2 linked regions of the Saccharomyces cerevisiae S288C genome follow. The gene in region 2 interacts genetically with the main gene of each other region. Each region holds a gene or a part of one and is shown on either strand. Other genes may lie near its edges.

Region 1 (6,894 bases), on a different chromosome or scaffold from region 2:
AAATTATACTCGGAAAATAAGGATATATTTGCATAAGCATTGTTTATAAATGCATTTAATGAACTTATGGCGAATGCTATAGATAAAGCCACAGCGCTTGGCAAATAACTACTAATGGATACGAACTGACGTGGTGCTAATAACAAATAAAAGAAGAACGATTGGTGAAATTTTTCCAAAAGGTTATTAATAGAGCGAAACATTGCTTCGGGTATACGTCCAAATGTAGTAATATCATGACCACTGTTTCCATGTGCTTTCAATGTTACAGATTGAATCCTCCAGCCGCTAAATGCCTCGTTACCATGGGGCTTTTTAACACCGGACAACGCCCAATCCCTTATTCCCAGGCATAATATTTTTAATCTTGACCAGAAATTATTATTAGTTAACTGATCACTGGGTAGACCGTGCAAAGAAACTTTCATACCTTCATGTTCCGTAATGGATATAGCGATGTTGACAAGATCCAAATTGGGCAGCTCACCATTCAGACCGTCGTATGAGATTTCTACATACTCGAAGAAATCTTCCGTACTCGAATAATCCAACACAACAGCAGCTTCAATGGAACCACCAGTCAAATCTAAGGAAGTATGGTATGCCTCAACCCATGATCTTAATGCTGCACGAGGATTTTCGCTGAAGACAACAATTATATTCTTGGACCATACTGGCCAACGTGAGAAAAATCTTGCTAAAGATACACCCAAAGCTGCGCCGCCAATATTGAATTCATCATCTGAATTAAACCATGGAACGGCAAGCACCATCGCTTCTGTTCCATCACCCCTAGGAGCGTGCATTACACCGTACAATGTTTCTCCATATTGTTCATTTTCGTAAATAGCAGTCTTAGTACCAAATTCTTGTAACCAAGAACCCATCAAATTGTTTCTTTCCATAGAAGTCATGTTTACCATTTCTTTAATTTGAGATCGATAGCCCCTCAAAATGTTCCATTCAGATTCTCTAAAGTAACTATACGCTTGTGAAGGCATCAATGCATTCTCAGAAATGTATGTTCTTCTGTACTGTCCATCCATAGGCAGAATAGCTATAGAAATAAACCCAAATAGAGCGCATAGCATGGAAATAACTGGTAATAAGGCGATTATACGCGGGACAAGCCCCATATCAACAATCCTTCGATGCAACTTCTCCAATAAGGCCATTCTTGGTGTATTATACGCGTCTTTGGTCTGTCAAGTCCTTTTATAAGACAGCAAATGTCATTTCTTTCTAAGTGTAGCCGGCGTGTATTGTTTATGACTTTTTTTTCTACCGCTGGCATTAAAGTGAGAGGTTCACGATGCGTTCCCAATAACTTCGTAGGGATGGCGATCAATATACAAATAGAGGGAAGCCAAACTCCCCACTATAAAGCTGTTGGCACGGTTTTATAAGCTTCAACCTTTCTAGGCTACAGGATACTCAAAAAAAATTACTGCGGTATTATCAACATAGTGCTCTTTGGAAAAAAAAAAAGAATAGTACTCATTAAAGCCACCTGACTCAAGTCTTCTATTGACGGTAATAAGTTAGCAAGCATGGAAGCTATTTCACAATTACGTGGTGTTCCATTGACACACCAAAAGGACTTTAGCTGGGTCTTTTTAGTAGATTGGATTCTCACGGTAGTAGTATGTTTGACAATGATATTCTACATGGGAAGAATCTATGCATACCTTGTAAGTTTTATATTAGAATGGCTACTATGGAAACGAGCGAAAATCAAGATAAATGTTGAGACACTTCGTGTCTCCTTACTAGGTGGTCGAATACATTTTAAAAACCTTTCCGTAATACACAAAGATTATACAATTTCGGTATTAGAGGGTAGTTTAACATGGAAATACTGGCTTTTAAATTGCAGAAAAGCAGAATTGATAGAGAATAACAAGTCTTCTTCTGGCAAAAAAGCAAAGCTTCCCTGTAAAATTTCCGTAGAATGTGAAGGTCTAGAAATTTTTATTTACAACAGAACAGTGGCGTACGATAATGTTATAAACTTACTATCAAAAGATGAACGCGATAAATTTGAAAAATACCTTAATGAGCATTCTTTTCCTGAACCTTTTAGCGATGGAAGTAGTGCTGATAAATTAGATGAAGATCTAAGCGAATCTGCATACACAACGAACTCTGATGCATCAATTGTTAATGACAGGGACTACCAAGAAACAGATATCGGCAAACATCCAAAGCTACTGATGTTTTTACCAATTGAGCTTAAATTTAGCCGCGGTTCCCTACTGTTAGGAAACAAATTCACGCCATCTGTTATGATTCTAAGTTATGAAAGTGGAAAAGGCATAATAGATGTTTTACCTCCAAAAGAGCGATTAGATTTATACAGAAATAAAACACAGATGGAATTCAAAAACTTCGAAATTTCTATCAAACAAAATATTGGTTACGATGATGCTATTGGATTGAAGTTTAAAATAGATAGAGGGAAAGTGTCAAAGTTATGGAAAACGTTTGTACGAGTCTTTCAGATAGTAACCAAGCCTGTTGTACCGAAAAAGACTAAAAAAAGCGCAGGCACATCAGATGACAATTTCTATCATAAATGGAAAGGTTTATCTCTTTATAAGGCTTCTGCGGGCGACGCTAAAGCAAGTGATTTAGATGATGTTGAGTTCGATTTGACGAACCATGAATATGCTAAATTTACATCAATTTTAAAATGCCCAAAGGTCACAATTGCATATGACGTGGATGTTCCGGGCGTTGTGCCACATGGTGCACATCCGACAATACCTGATATTGATGGACCAGATGTGGGCAATAACGGAGCACCTCCAGATTTTGCTTTAGATGTTCAAATTCACGGAGGATCCATCTGTTACGGACCTTGGGCTCAAAGACAAGTCAGTCATCTACAAAGAGTTCTATCACCGGTAGTTTCAAGGACAGCCAAACCTATAAAAAAACTCCCGCCAGGTTCTAGAAGAATATATACACTTTTCAGGATGAATATATCAATAATGGAAGATACTACTTGGCGTATACCGACGAGGGAAAGTAGCAAAGACCCCGAATTTTTGAAACACTACAAAGAAACTAATGAAGAATATAGGCCATTTGGATGGATGGATCTCCGATTTTGTAAGGACACCTATGCAAATTTCAATATAAGTGTTTGTCCTACAGTGCAAGGTTTTCAGAATAATTTCCATGTTCATTTCCTGGAAACCGAAATTAGGTCAAGTGTTAATCACGATATTTTGTTAAAAAGCAAGGTATTCGATATTGATGGGGATATTGGATATCCATTGGGTTGGAATAGCAAAGCTATATGGATAATTAACATGAAGTCAGAACAATTAGAGGCGTTTCTGCTACGTGAGCATATAACTTTAGTTGCAGATACGCTTTCAGACTTTTCCGCTGGTGATCCTACGCCTTACGAACTTTTTAGACCATTCGTATACAAAGTCAATTGGGAAATGGAAGGATATTCCATTTACTTAAACGTCAATGATCACAATATTGTTAACAATCCGTTAGATTTTAACGAAAACTGTTATTTATCCCTTCATGGTGATAAGCTTTCAATTGATGTCACGGTACCCCGTGAGAGTATTTTGGGGACATACACAGATATGTCCTACGAGATCTCAACTCCAATGTTCAGAATGATGTTAAATACCCCCCCTTGGAATACATTGAACGAATTCATGAAACATAAAGAAGTGGGGAGAGCATACGACTTTACAATTAAAGGTTCTTACCTTCTCTATTCCGAGTTAGATATTGATAATGTCGATACGCTAGTCATAGAGTGTAACAGCAAGAGTACAGTACTTCACTGCTATGGGTTTGTCATGAGGTATTTAACAAACGTAAAGATGAATTACTTCGGTGAATTTTTTAATTTTGTGACGTCAGAAGAGTACACAGGTGTCCTTGGCGCTAGGGAAGTCGGAGATGTCACTACGAAAAGCTCGGTGGCAGATTTGGCATCTACTGTAGATTCAGGGTACCAAAATAGCAGTCTAAAGAACGAATCTGAGGATAAAGGTCCTATGAAAAGGTCAGATTTGAAAAGGACTACCAACGAAACTGATATTTGGTTCACATTTTCGGTTTGGGATGGTGCTCTGATATTACCAGAAACGATTTACAGTTTTGATCCATGCATTGCACTACATTTTGCCGAACTTGTAGTGGATTTCAGAAGTTGTAATTATTATATGGACATAATGGCGGTTCTCAACGGGACTTCAATAAAGCGGCACGTTTCAAAACAAATAAATGAAGTATTTGATTTTATACGTCGTAATAACGGAGCTGATGAGCAAGAGCACGGATTGCTTTCGGACCTCACCATTCATGGACATAGAATGTATGGATTACCACCCACAGAACCTACCTACTTTTGTCAATGGGATATCAATCTCGGAGATTTATGCATTGATTCAGATATTGAATTTATAAAGGGATTCTTTAATTCCTTTTATAAGATAGGTTTTGGCTACAATGACTTGGAAAATATATTATTATATGACACTGAGACCATTAATGATATGACCTCGCTAACCGTGCACGTTGAAAAAATAAGAATAGGCCTTAAAGATCCGGTGATGAAATCTCAATCAGTTATTAGTGCTGAATCGATATTGTTTACTTTGATCGACTTTGAAAACGAAAAATATTCACAAAGAATAGACGTGAAAATTCCAAAATTGACAATTTCGTTAAATTGCGTGATGGGCGATGGCGTAGACACATCATTTCTCAAATTCGAAACAAAATTAAGATTTACAAACTTTGAGCAATACAAGGATATCGATAAAAAAAGATCAGAACAACGCAGATATATAACAATACACGATTCACCCTATCATAGGTGTCCTTTTCTTCTTCCGCTGTTCTATCAGGATTCGGATACATACCAAAACCTGTACGGGGCTATAGCACCATCTTCGTCTATCCCAACTTTACCTCTTCCCACTTTGCCTGATACTATAGATTATATCATTGAAGATATTGTGGGCGAGTATGCTACCCTTCTGGAGACCACAAATCCATTCAAGAACATATTCGCAGAAACTCCATCAACTATGGAGCCTTCAAGAGCCAGCTTCAGTGAAGATGATAATGACGAAGAAGCGGACCCTTCAAGCTTCAAACCTGTCGCTTTTACAGAAGACAGAAACCACGAAAGGGATAACTATGTTGTTGATGTTTCATATATTCTGTTGGATGTCGACCCGTTGCTTTTTATTTTCGCTAAGAGTTTATTAGAACAGCTTTACTCTGAAAACATGGTACAAGTCTTAGACGATATTGAAATTGGGATTGTGAAACGATTAAGCAACCTTCAAGAAGGGATCACTTCTATTTCAAACATTGATATCCATATTGCTTATCTAAATTTAATCTGGCAAGAGACAGGTGAGGAAGGTTTTGAGCTCTATTTAGATCGTATTGATTATCAAATGAGTGAAAAGTCTCTAGAGAAGAACCGAACAAATAAATTATTAGAAGTAGCAGCTTTAGCAAAGGTAAAAACTGTCAGAGTGACTGTTAACCAGAAGAAAAATCCAGACTTGTCTGAAGATCGTCCCCCTGCACTGTCGCTAGGGATTGAGGGTTTCGAAGTATGGTCTTCTACAGAAGATAGACAAGTTAACTCATTAAACTTAACGTCATCAGATATTACCATAGACGAATCTCAAATGGAATGGCTGTTTGAGTACTGTAGTGACCAGGGAAATCTTATTCAAGAGGTTTGCACTTCTTTTAATTCTATTCAGAACACCAGAAGTAATTCAAAGACAGAACTCATTTCAAAGCTCACAGCCGCAAGCGAATATTATCAAATTAGTCATGATCCTTACGTCATAACAAAACCTGCTTTTATTATGAGACTTTCCAAAGGGCATGTGCGTGAGAATCGTAGTTGGAAAATTATTACGCGTCTGAGACACATTTTAACGTACCTTCCTGATGATTGGCAAAGCAACATCGACGAAGTGCTAAAAGAAAAGAAATATACCTCTGCTAAAGATGCAAAAAATATCTTCATGTCTGTGTTTTCGACTTGGAGAAATTGGGAGTTCTCAGATGTTGCAAGGTCGTATATATACGGCAAATTATTCACGGCAGAAAATGAGAAACATAAACAAAATTTGATTAAAAAATTGTTGAAGTGTACCATGGGATCATTTTACCTTACTGTTTATGGTGAGGGATATGAGGTTGAGCATAATTTTGTTGTTGCGGATGCCAATCTGGTAGTGGATTTGACGCCTCCGGTGACAAGCTTACCTTCAAATCGAGAAGAAACTATTGAAATTACGGGAAGAGTAGGCTCAGTAAAAGGAAAATTCAGTGATAGGTTACTTAAATTGCAAGATCTTATTCCACTCATTGCAGCAGTGGGCGAAGATGACAAAAGTGATCCAAAAAAGGAGTTATCAAAGCAATTCAAAATGAACACCGTTTTATTAGTGGATAAAAGTGAACTGCAACTGGTCATGGACCAAACGAAGCTGATGAGTAGAACAGTTGGGGGTAGAGTTAGTTTACTATGGGAAAATCTAAAAGATTCAACTAGTCAAGCGGGTTCATTGGTTATATTTTCCCAGAAATCGGAAGTGTGGTTAAAACACACATCTGTCATTTTGGGAGAAGCTCAACTGCGCGACTTTTCAGTTTTAGCGACTACTGAGGCATGGTCACACAAGCCTACGATTCTGATAAACAACCAGTGCGCAGATCTTCATTTTAGAGCAATGAGTTCAACTGAGCAATTAGTAACCGCTATTACTGAAATTAGGGAAAGTCTGATGATGATTAAAGAGCGCATAAAGTTTAAACCTAAATCAAAGAAAAAGTCCCAATTTGTCGACCAGAAAATTAATACAGTCTTGTCATGTT
Region 2 (7,644 bases):
TTACGGGGCACAAATCAAGAACAATAAGACAGGACTGTAAAGATGGACGCATTGAACTCCAAAGAACAACAAGAGTTCCAAAAAGTAGTGGAACAAAAGCAAATGAAGGATTTCATGCGTTTGTACTCTAATCTGGTAGAAAGATGTTTCACAGACTGTGTCAATGACTTCACAACATCAAAGCTAACCAATAAGGAACAAACATGCATCATGAAGTGCTCAGAAAAGTTCTTGAAGCATAGCGAACGTGTAGGGCAGCGTTTCCAAGAACAAAACGCTGCCTTGGGACAAGGCTTGGGCCGATAAGGTGTACTGGCGTATATATATCTAATTATGTATCTCTGGTGTAGCCCATTTTTAGCATGTAAATATAAAGAGAAACCATATCTAATCTAACCAAATCCAAACAAAATTCAATAGTTACTATCGCTTTTTTCTTTCTGTATCGCAAATAAGTGAAAATTAAAAAAGAAAGATTAAATTGGAAGTTGGATATGGGCTGGAACAGCAGCAGTAATCGGTATCGGGTTCGCCACTAATGACGTCCTACGATTGCACTCAACAGACCTTGACGCTCACGCCGTAGCGGGCGACAAGTCAAACGGAACAACCGTTGCCGTTCCCATCGGAGTCCGACCTAGGCCGAACTCCGTGAATTTCTGATAACAACGGTCGGTAAAGACTGGTTCCCCAGTATATTTCTTCTCTCAGGAGCAGGGGCCAATGCCAAAAGCGACATTAACCCGGAGGACAAGGCTCCACTGTGTTCCACCGAATTTCCCACCTGATAATATCTGATAACCCGCCCATAGGTGGGGATCCTTCTGTAAACAGGTTTCTTAATCGTAGGAATTACCACTGTTCCACTGCCAATCGCAGCTCCCAGAGTTTCGTTCCCAGCCGCGAGCACCACAGCGTACCATGTGCGCCACGAGGCCTCAAACGTAAAACAATCGAAACGAAAAGAAACAGACTATAGGGGAGTATAGAGACAGCCGGCCAATAAGAAGAGGAAAAAGAAATACTAGCGTTTATCAATGTGGGTCGTTAACATATCCTGTTGACAATGATTACAGGTTAAAAGGTAGCGTAAGTGAATATTAACTATGGATATTCTTATACTTAGATAAGAGACATATAAAACACACGATGATTGATTGATTTTTATGACCAATATATGTAATTCGTAATTCAGATAGTTTTTATACTTTTAATGTGTGCCGAACCATATTACTAGTATATGTAACTACCATGTTATGTTCAATTGGCAGATCTTTAACTCGGCTTTAGTTATCCAAGTTACTTGCAATATTTCCTTCTGCGAGAGTACATTTGCCCTTAAACGTATACGAGGTATTCATTAATGTGTGTTGTAAGTATTTAGATTGACATCTATAAGAGAGATGAACATATATATATATATATATATATATATACATGCATATTTACTATAAACGCGGTTTATTCTGCCAGGCAAAGGCAATTTGCTTTTGTTCGCCAGGCTCAATGATAACGTTGATGACACTTGTTTCTCTTTTAGTCCGAGAAAGCTGCACGGCTTGTTGGAAGCATCTGCTCAGTTCGCTTATTGTGTTGACAAAAAAATCATTGGCACCCAGTCCTTTGCCTACGAGATCGTAACGGCAGTTCTTGCTTAGTGCCGTTGGAGGTAAATCACCCTCTATATCCTTTTCTCCATGGTAAATACCGCTATTGTTCATCACAACGATGACCAATGCCAGCTGACACCTTACTGCCGTTTCAATTTCCATGGCAGAGAATCCAAATGCGGAATCACCCTGAATCAGCACCACATCGAGTTCCGGATGAGATGCCTTGCATGCAAGAGCATATCCGAGCCCAATCCCCATAGTCGCGTTGGTCCCTGCGTCTAAACGGCGCCTTGGAGCGTCTGTAGGGAATGAAATACGCGCAATATCCATAGTATTTGCTCCCTCCGTCACAAGTATTGTCCTGTAATCATCGATAAGAGGCCTCAATGTTCCATAAACCTGGTTGTAATTCAATTGTGCCCCTCTAGTCTTCTCTTTCCTCAATAGACGAGTTTGATTCAGTTGAATTTTCTCTCGTATTTCTTGCTTAACACCACTATACTTCCAGCAGGAATCTTGGCGAGTCAATTCCTCAACTAAAGCGGTTACGCTCAAGCCTATATCTCCCCATATGGAAAGGTCAGCACCAGGTGAGACATTGTTATCCCCCAAGGTTTCGGGATTGGAATCGAACTGGATGAATATGGATTCTGAGTTCCATTTGGGTGAAGTACCAAAATGCAATATCCAGTTTAATCTTGCCCCGAGAACAAGAACAATATCCGCTATTTTCAATGCTTGAGATCTTGCAGATGAAACGTTCAGTGGAGAAGAGTCTGGGACAATTCCCTTAGCCATTGGGGTGGGTAAAAATGGTAGATTGAACGTATTTACTAGTCTGCGGATTTCGTGTGAGTTTTTTACCGCACCCTTTCCAATAACAATCAGAATATTTTTATTTTTATGTTGCAAAATAAGCTGTACGACTTTTTTGATCTTCGACGGATCAGGGCCACATATGTTTGGAGTTAATATCATCGGTAATTCATTTCCTGTACGGTCGTTTCCTTCTAAGGGTTTTTCATACTCAATAAAATCTGCAGGGACGTCTATGTAAGAAACCCCTGCAGTGCCTTGTATACAGTAATTCAAAGCCTTCTGAGTAATCATGTCAATATTGTCAGGGGTTAACTTTCCGGTAAACTTCAAAAATGGGGACAAAAGACTAACTTGATCCAACTCTTGAAACCCGCCTTTATGTATATCACTTTGAGAAGAACTCCCTGCAATTACTAGAAGAGGCCACCTATTACTCATTGAGTTGTATATACCAGCCAGTGCGTGGATTAAACCGGGGCCCCCGACAATAAGTAACACGCCGGGCTTATCACTAATATAACCATAAGCAGAGGCTGCATATGAGGCAGCCTGTTCGTTCCTGCATGGAATGAATTTGATACCGTTGGCAACCATCGTATCCGCTAGTTGGACAATAGGGATGCCCACAATTCCAAAGACTGTGTCGATGCCATATTTTTGTAAAAGTTGAGCGAAGTGTTGGGTAGCGGTCGTGGTCATATTGATGGATGGTTGTGACGGTTTGAATGTAGAGAGTATATTCTTCTTATCACATAAAAGTAACCAATGCCTTTTTTTTCCTTTATATATAATGTGGTTATATACCAACCTTTTGTAAATTTCCAACTTTTTTCTTTAGTTAGCTTTGCTTGAACTTCGGGCCGAAGGGCTCGGATAAGAGAAACAATAATTTTGTTTTCATAAAACATCGATGGCTTGACTACTTCTTTTATCCTGTTCCTGAGATTCTTTCATCTTGGCGATCTTACACCTTAGTTCCATAATAGGGTCTCTTACAAAATCCCTCATTGAAACGACTTGAGAACACGCTGCTTGCGGGCAATCTCTTGTCGTGTATCCTTGTAAATAGTTTTGAATGCCGTCTCTATCGAAGACGTGATTACATTTTCTTGATATCAATGGTGCTTCGTAAGGTTTGCAGGTGATAGGACAAGTCAATTCAATTTTACCACCTTCTATTTGTAGATCGTCTTCGTCTGCGGGGTTTTGCAGATCCGGTATTACACAAGTTGGATCATTCCATATGTACGGCAACACTTTTAGTATCTTGAGTGTATCTGTGTTATTAACCATGGTTGCAGGCTCTGGTGTGGGCATATTTAGATATAATTCAGATAATTTGGGAGCGGTGAGTTCTCCGGTACGATATTTATCCCAGGTAGAAAGGTCGATTTGCGGACAGGCATCTGAGGATTGTTTGAAATTTTTTTTTAAATCTTTAATATGTTCGTCAAATGAGTTGGATTCCGATTCGTATGTCGAGAGGAGTTTGTAGGTGCTAGTAATATCTGCGACCTGCTCTTCAATGCCGATGGTGGAAGGAGATGTAGAATCCACTAATTGATTTATGGTCTCATCAATTTGTTTGTAGCATTGTTGATATATATTTGATAAGTCTCGGGCATGTAAATTATGGAAGTACTTACCTGATTTTGGGTGTAGAGGAACTGACTTGGGTATAGGATTATCGTTCAAGGCCATTTTTAAAGTTATTCTTTTTTTATATAGTCTTGCCTTGGTTTCTTTAACTGACACGATTATTTTAGCAAGTTTTTTTCTACACAGGAAAAGAGGAAGAAAATAACCAGAGAAGCACTGGTAAAAAGATACTTCTGCGTGCCGGAGTAACCAGAATCAAAGGAACGCATAGATGGATAAAGAGGTAAGTGAATTGGTAGTGTTGCAGCTAATACACACTTTAATTTCCAACAAGAATGAAGAACTGGTTAGGAACGGGGGAGGAATCAACATGATTGGGAATAATCTTCGAATATCGCTAGTCAAGTTGACTAACGAAATACAAAACAATTTGCTAATCAACGAGCTGACAAATTTAAGAAGGCAAAGCAACGTGGCAAATGGAAACAGGAAACTGGGCATCAACGATATCCTGACCATAGTTAAGAATTTATTCCCAGAGTACAGAACAACACTAAACGATGGACAACTTAGTCTACACGGTTTGGAAATGCATGATATCGAGAAGCTCCTTGACGAAAAGTACGATCGATTCAAGAAAACGCAGGTCGAACAAATAAGGATGATGGAGGATGAGATATTGAAGAACGGTATAAAGACCGGTGCATCGCAACTGCAACCACATGCAAATGCTGGCAAAAGTGGATCTGCTGGTACCAGTGCTACTATAACTACGACTACGCCACACATGGCGCATTCAATGGACCCAAAAAGAGAAAAACTATTGAAATTATACAGAGATACCGTTCTGAATAAATTGGAAAGTAAAACTGGGAATTTTCAGAAGCTATTCAAGAGTCCCGATGGTAGCATTATCAAGAATGAGATAAATTACGAAGACATAAAGAACGAAACGCCCGGCAGCGTTCATGAACTGCAGCTGATTCTTCAAAAGAGCATAACGGACGGTGTAATGCGAAAGGTCATTGGTACGGACGACTGGAAATTGGCTAGACAAGTGCAGTTTGAATTGGATGATACGGTGCAGTTCATGAGAAGAGCACTAGAGTAAGGAGATAGTAGGCGACACTTCGAAAATCTAAAGTCTTGTAACATTACTATTATATACTATTTTATTAAAAAAATACACACACAATTCTTTAACAGAACAATATATAACAAATGAAGCGACATGTTTCTCAAAAAAAAACATAGTAGGTAGGTAAAAATGGGAAAGAACGGGACAAACAAAACGAAGAGCAGGGTGTATTTGCCCACACACGGCAAACAACATCCATTCACGCCCGCATGCCCAAAACTTTTTTGCGATAAAACGCCCACGCAAATCACATCGTTCCAACAGAGGAATCGAACAGCACAGATACAAAGTAGGAATATAGCACACACACAGGAAAAATTAATTAATTATTAGAAATTAAAAGGGTTGGGGAGAAAAGAGGTCTAATTTATTCATTAATATTCAGTAATTGAAAAAAAAAAAAAAAAGAGGATAACTAAGAGAAAACAACATCAAGCTCGTTTGGCTTGCTAGTGATCGCTTAGAATCTTTGTAAACCTCTTTGTCTAGCTTGCCATTTTCTGTAGATAATGGTAGAAATGATGGCGATACAAGCCAAACCGACTAGAATAAAAACTAAGATAACACCACCTGGTAACGTGCTCATCAACATCTTTGTATAATTGTTATTGTACTATTTATTGTTTTGTATGTATACGATGGAGAAAAAGAGAAAGGAAGAAGGAAGGACGAAAGAGAAAAAACTGGAAGGGAAGAAGAATTGATTTTATATTAACCAAGAGGAAGGAAAGGAAATTGAGTTGTGATTACGGAATTTTAGTTTTTTTCACTGTTTATTTAAACCAAAAGGTGTGGAAGAGAAAGAGAGAAAAAAGTTCTGTAATTCGTTAAGGAAATTAAGTATCCGCGCCGGAAAAATAGCGAGAGGTTTTTTTTGATGCAAAAGCTAGGGAGGGCTGCGGACGGATTTCGAAAACAGCTCAACAGCGTGGTGACGAGTTGCGTCAGGGTGTTGGCCAGTGCTACCGCGGGCGGCGCTGCACAGGGAGTAAGCAGAGCGGGCTAGAGCGCGGTTTTGGAGAGGGCCCGGGCTGCTGTGGTCGTAGGATTGCGGTAATTTAGTGGCTCGCCCTCGTTTGTCGTGCTTTTTCCGAGTTCCGAAACTCTTTCCCGAGCTGTTAATGTGCTAAAAGTGGTAAATCGTATATGATGATATACGTATATGATGATAATTTCCTGCGCGCTACTTGCGTGCATTCGTCACTCATAACAAAAAGAACTACACAATACGTAAACAACGTGCGAAAATATCTATATACAAGGGGAGAAAACAAAAGTGAAAGTGCATTACAGCCCATCACAGATCATTATAATACAATATGCCGACCAAGTCAACTTTTAGTCGCTGGAAGAAGGCGGACCTAATTGACCTGGCCAACAAGCTGGAAATTGACGGCTTCCCCAATTATGCCAAGAAGAGTGATATGATCGATTACCTCGAATCGCACTTGAATCATCTTGAGAAACCTGTGGATTTTAAAGACGACTACCCGGAACTAAGGTCCTTTTATGAGTCGATGACAGTGGACCAGTCAAAGGATGAACGGAACGAATACGGATCCGGATCTGGAAACGGGTCTGGGTCTGGATCCTGTGACACCGCCACAAATGATTCCGATCTGGAGAAAGCGTACATCAAGGAGGATGATGATGAGAAACCGCAATCAGGCGATGAAACAAGCGCGACAAAGCCGCTTTCCAGCAGGAATGCAAATTCAAACGCCAAAACGAACTTCAATTTGTTGGATTTTAGCACAGATAACGACTCGTCCACCTCTGCGTTTACTAAGTTCAAGTTTAACTTTCAGGAATACCTCTCCGATATTAGATACCAAACGCAGAAATTGAATGAAAATGTTCAGGACTATCTTTCCACTATTTCCGCCGTCGATACGATTTTTTCCTTGTTGGAATTCTCTTTTCTGGTGAGAAACATATTAGCCGCCGGGCAGCCAACTTCTTCTTCTTCGCTCGCATCGTCGCTGGAAGCCGCCGTTGCCGCCCATAATAAATATCAATACACGCTCGATTTCTGTTTACCAATACTCACGTGGCTGCTCTTCTTTAGGGGTATTCCAACGTTAGTGTCATACTACATCAACTTCATCCGCTACGACCTGAACATCGAGTTGGACCCGATGACTTTCAATCTCACGAAATTCTTGATTTCTTTGGCAATCTTCAAAACTTGTAATAATAAAAACATAGATTTCCATTCTTTTCGATGTGTTAACCAACTATGGACACAACTCTGTACAGTGAACCGTTCCCTTGGTATGGTACCTCTAGTATTCTCCATGGTTAGTTGTCTCCTCACTCTATACGTATTATAGTATATTTTCTTACATACGTATACACACGCGTACGTAAGCCGCGAAGTGTGTATTTACTACTCTGTATTATTGTAATAAACTCTTCTCCTTCTTTGTCTTTTCTTCTCCCAAAAGCGCACTTGCCTTGATCAGCATATTGTAT

Evidence for each region. Genes that interact genetically often act in the same process or in processes that back each other up.
Region 1: mutations in EAF5 (region 2) and CSF1 together harm fitness more than expected from each alone (negative genetic interaction), as found in Saccharomyces cerevisiae (6 studies listed by BioGRID, with this or other methods).

Annotation. Positions count from the first base shown.
Region 1 is NC_001144.5:310,388-317,281, reverse strand, and holds the start of CSF1 (Csf1p), read left to right. Parts: upstream 1-1,550; coding exon 1,551-6,894. Other genes in the region: GPI-anchor transamidase subunit GAA1, read right to left, coding at 1-1,175. UniProt on the Saccharomyces cerevisiae protein: Tube-forming lipid transport protein which provides phosphatidylethanolamine for glycosylphosphatidylinositol (GPI) anchor synthesis in the endoplasmic reticulum. Required for the glucose and other nutrients uptake at low temperature.
Region 2 is NC_001137.3:117,169-124,812, forward strand, and holds EAF5 (Eaf5p), read left to right. Parts: upstream 1-4,302; coding exon 4,303-5,142; downstream 5,143-7,644. Other genes in the region: protein transporter TIM9, read left to right, coding at 43-306; PXP1 (putative indolepyruvate decarboxylase family protein), read right to left, coding at 1,449-3,131; SUMO ligase MMS21, read right to left, coding at 3,330-4,133; PMP2 (proteolipid ATPase), read right to left, coding at 5,630-5,761; GTT3 (Gtt3p), read left to right, coding at 6,489-7,502; nucleotide diphosphatase/phosphodiesterase NPP2, read right to left, coding at 7,569-7,644. UniProt on the Saccharomyces cerevisiae protein: Component of the NuA4 histone acetyltransferase complex which is involved in transcriptional activation of selected genes principally by acetylation of nucleosomal histone H4 and H2A. The NuA4 complex is also involved in DNA repair.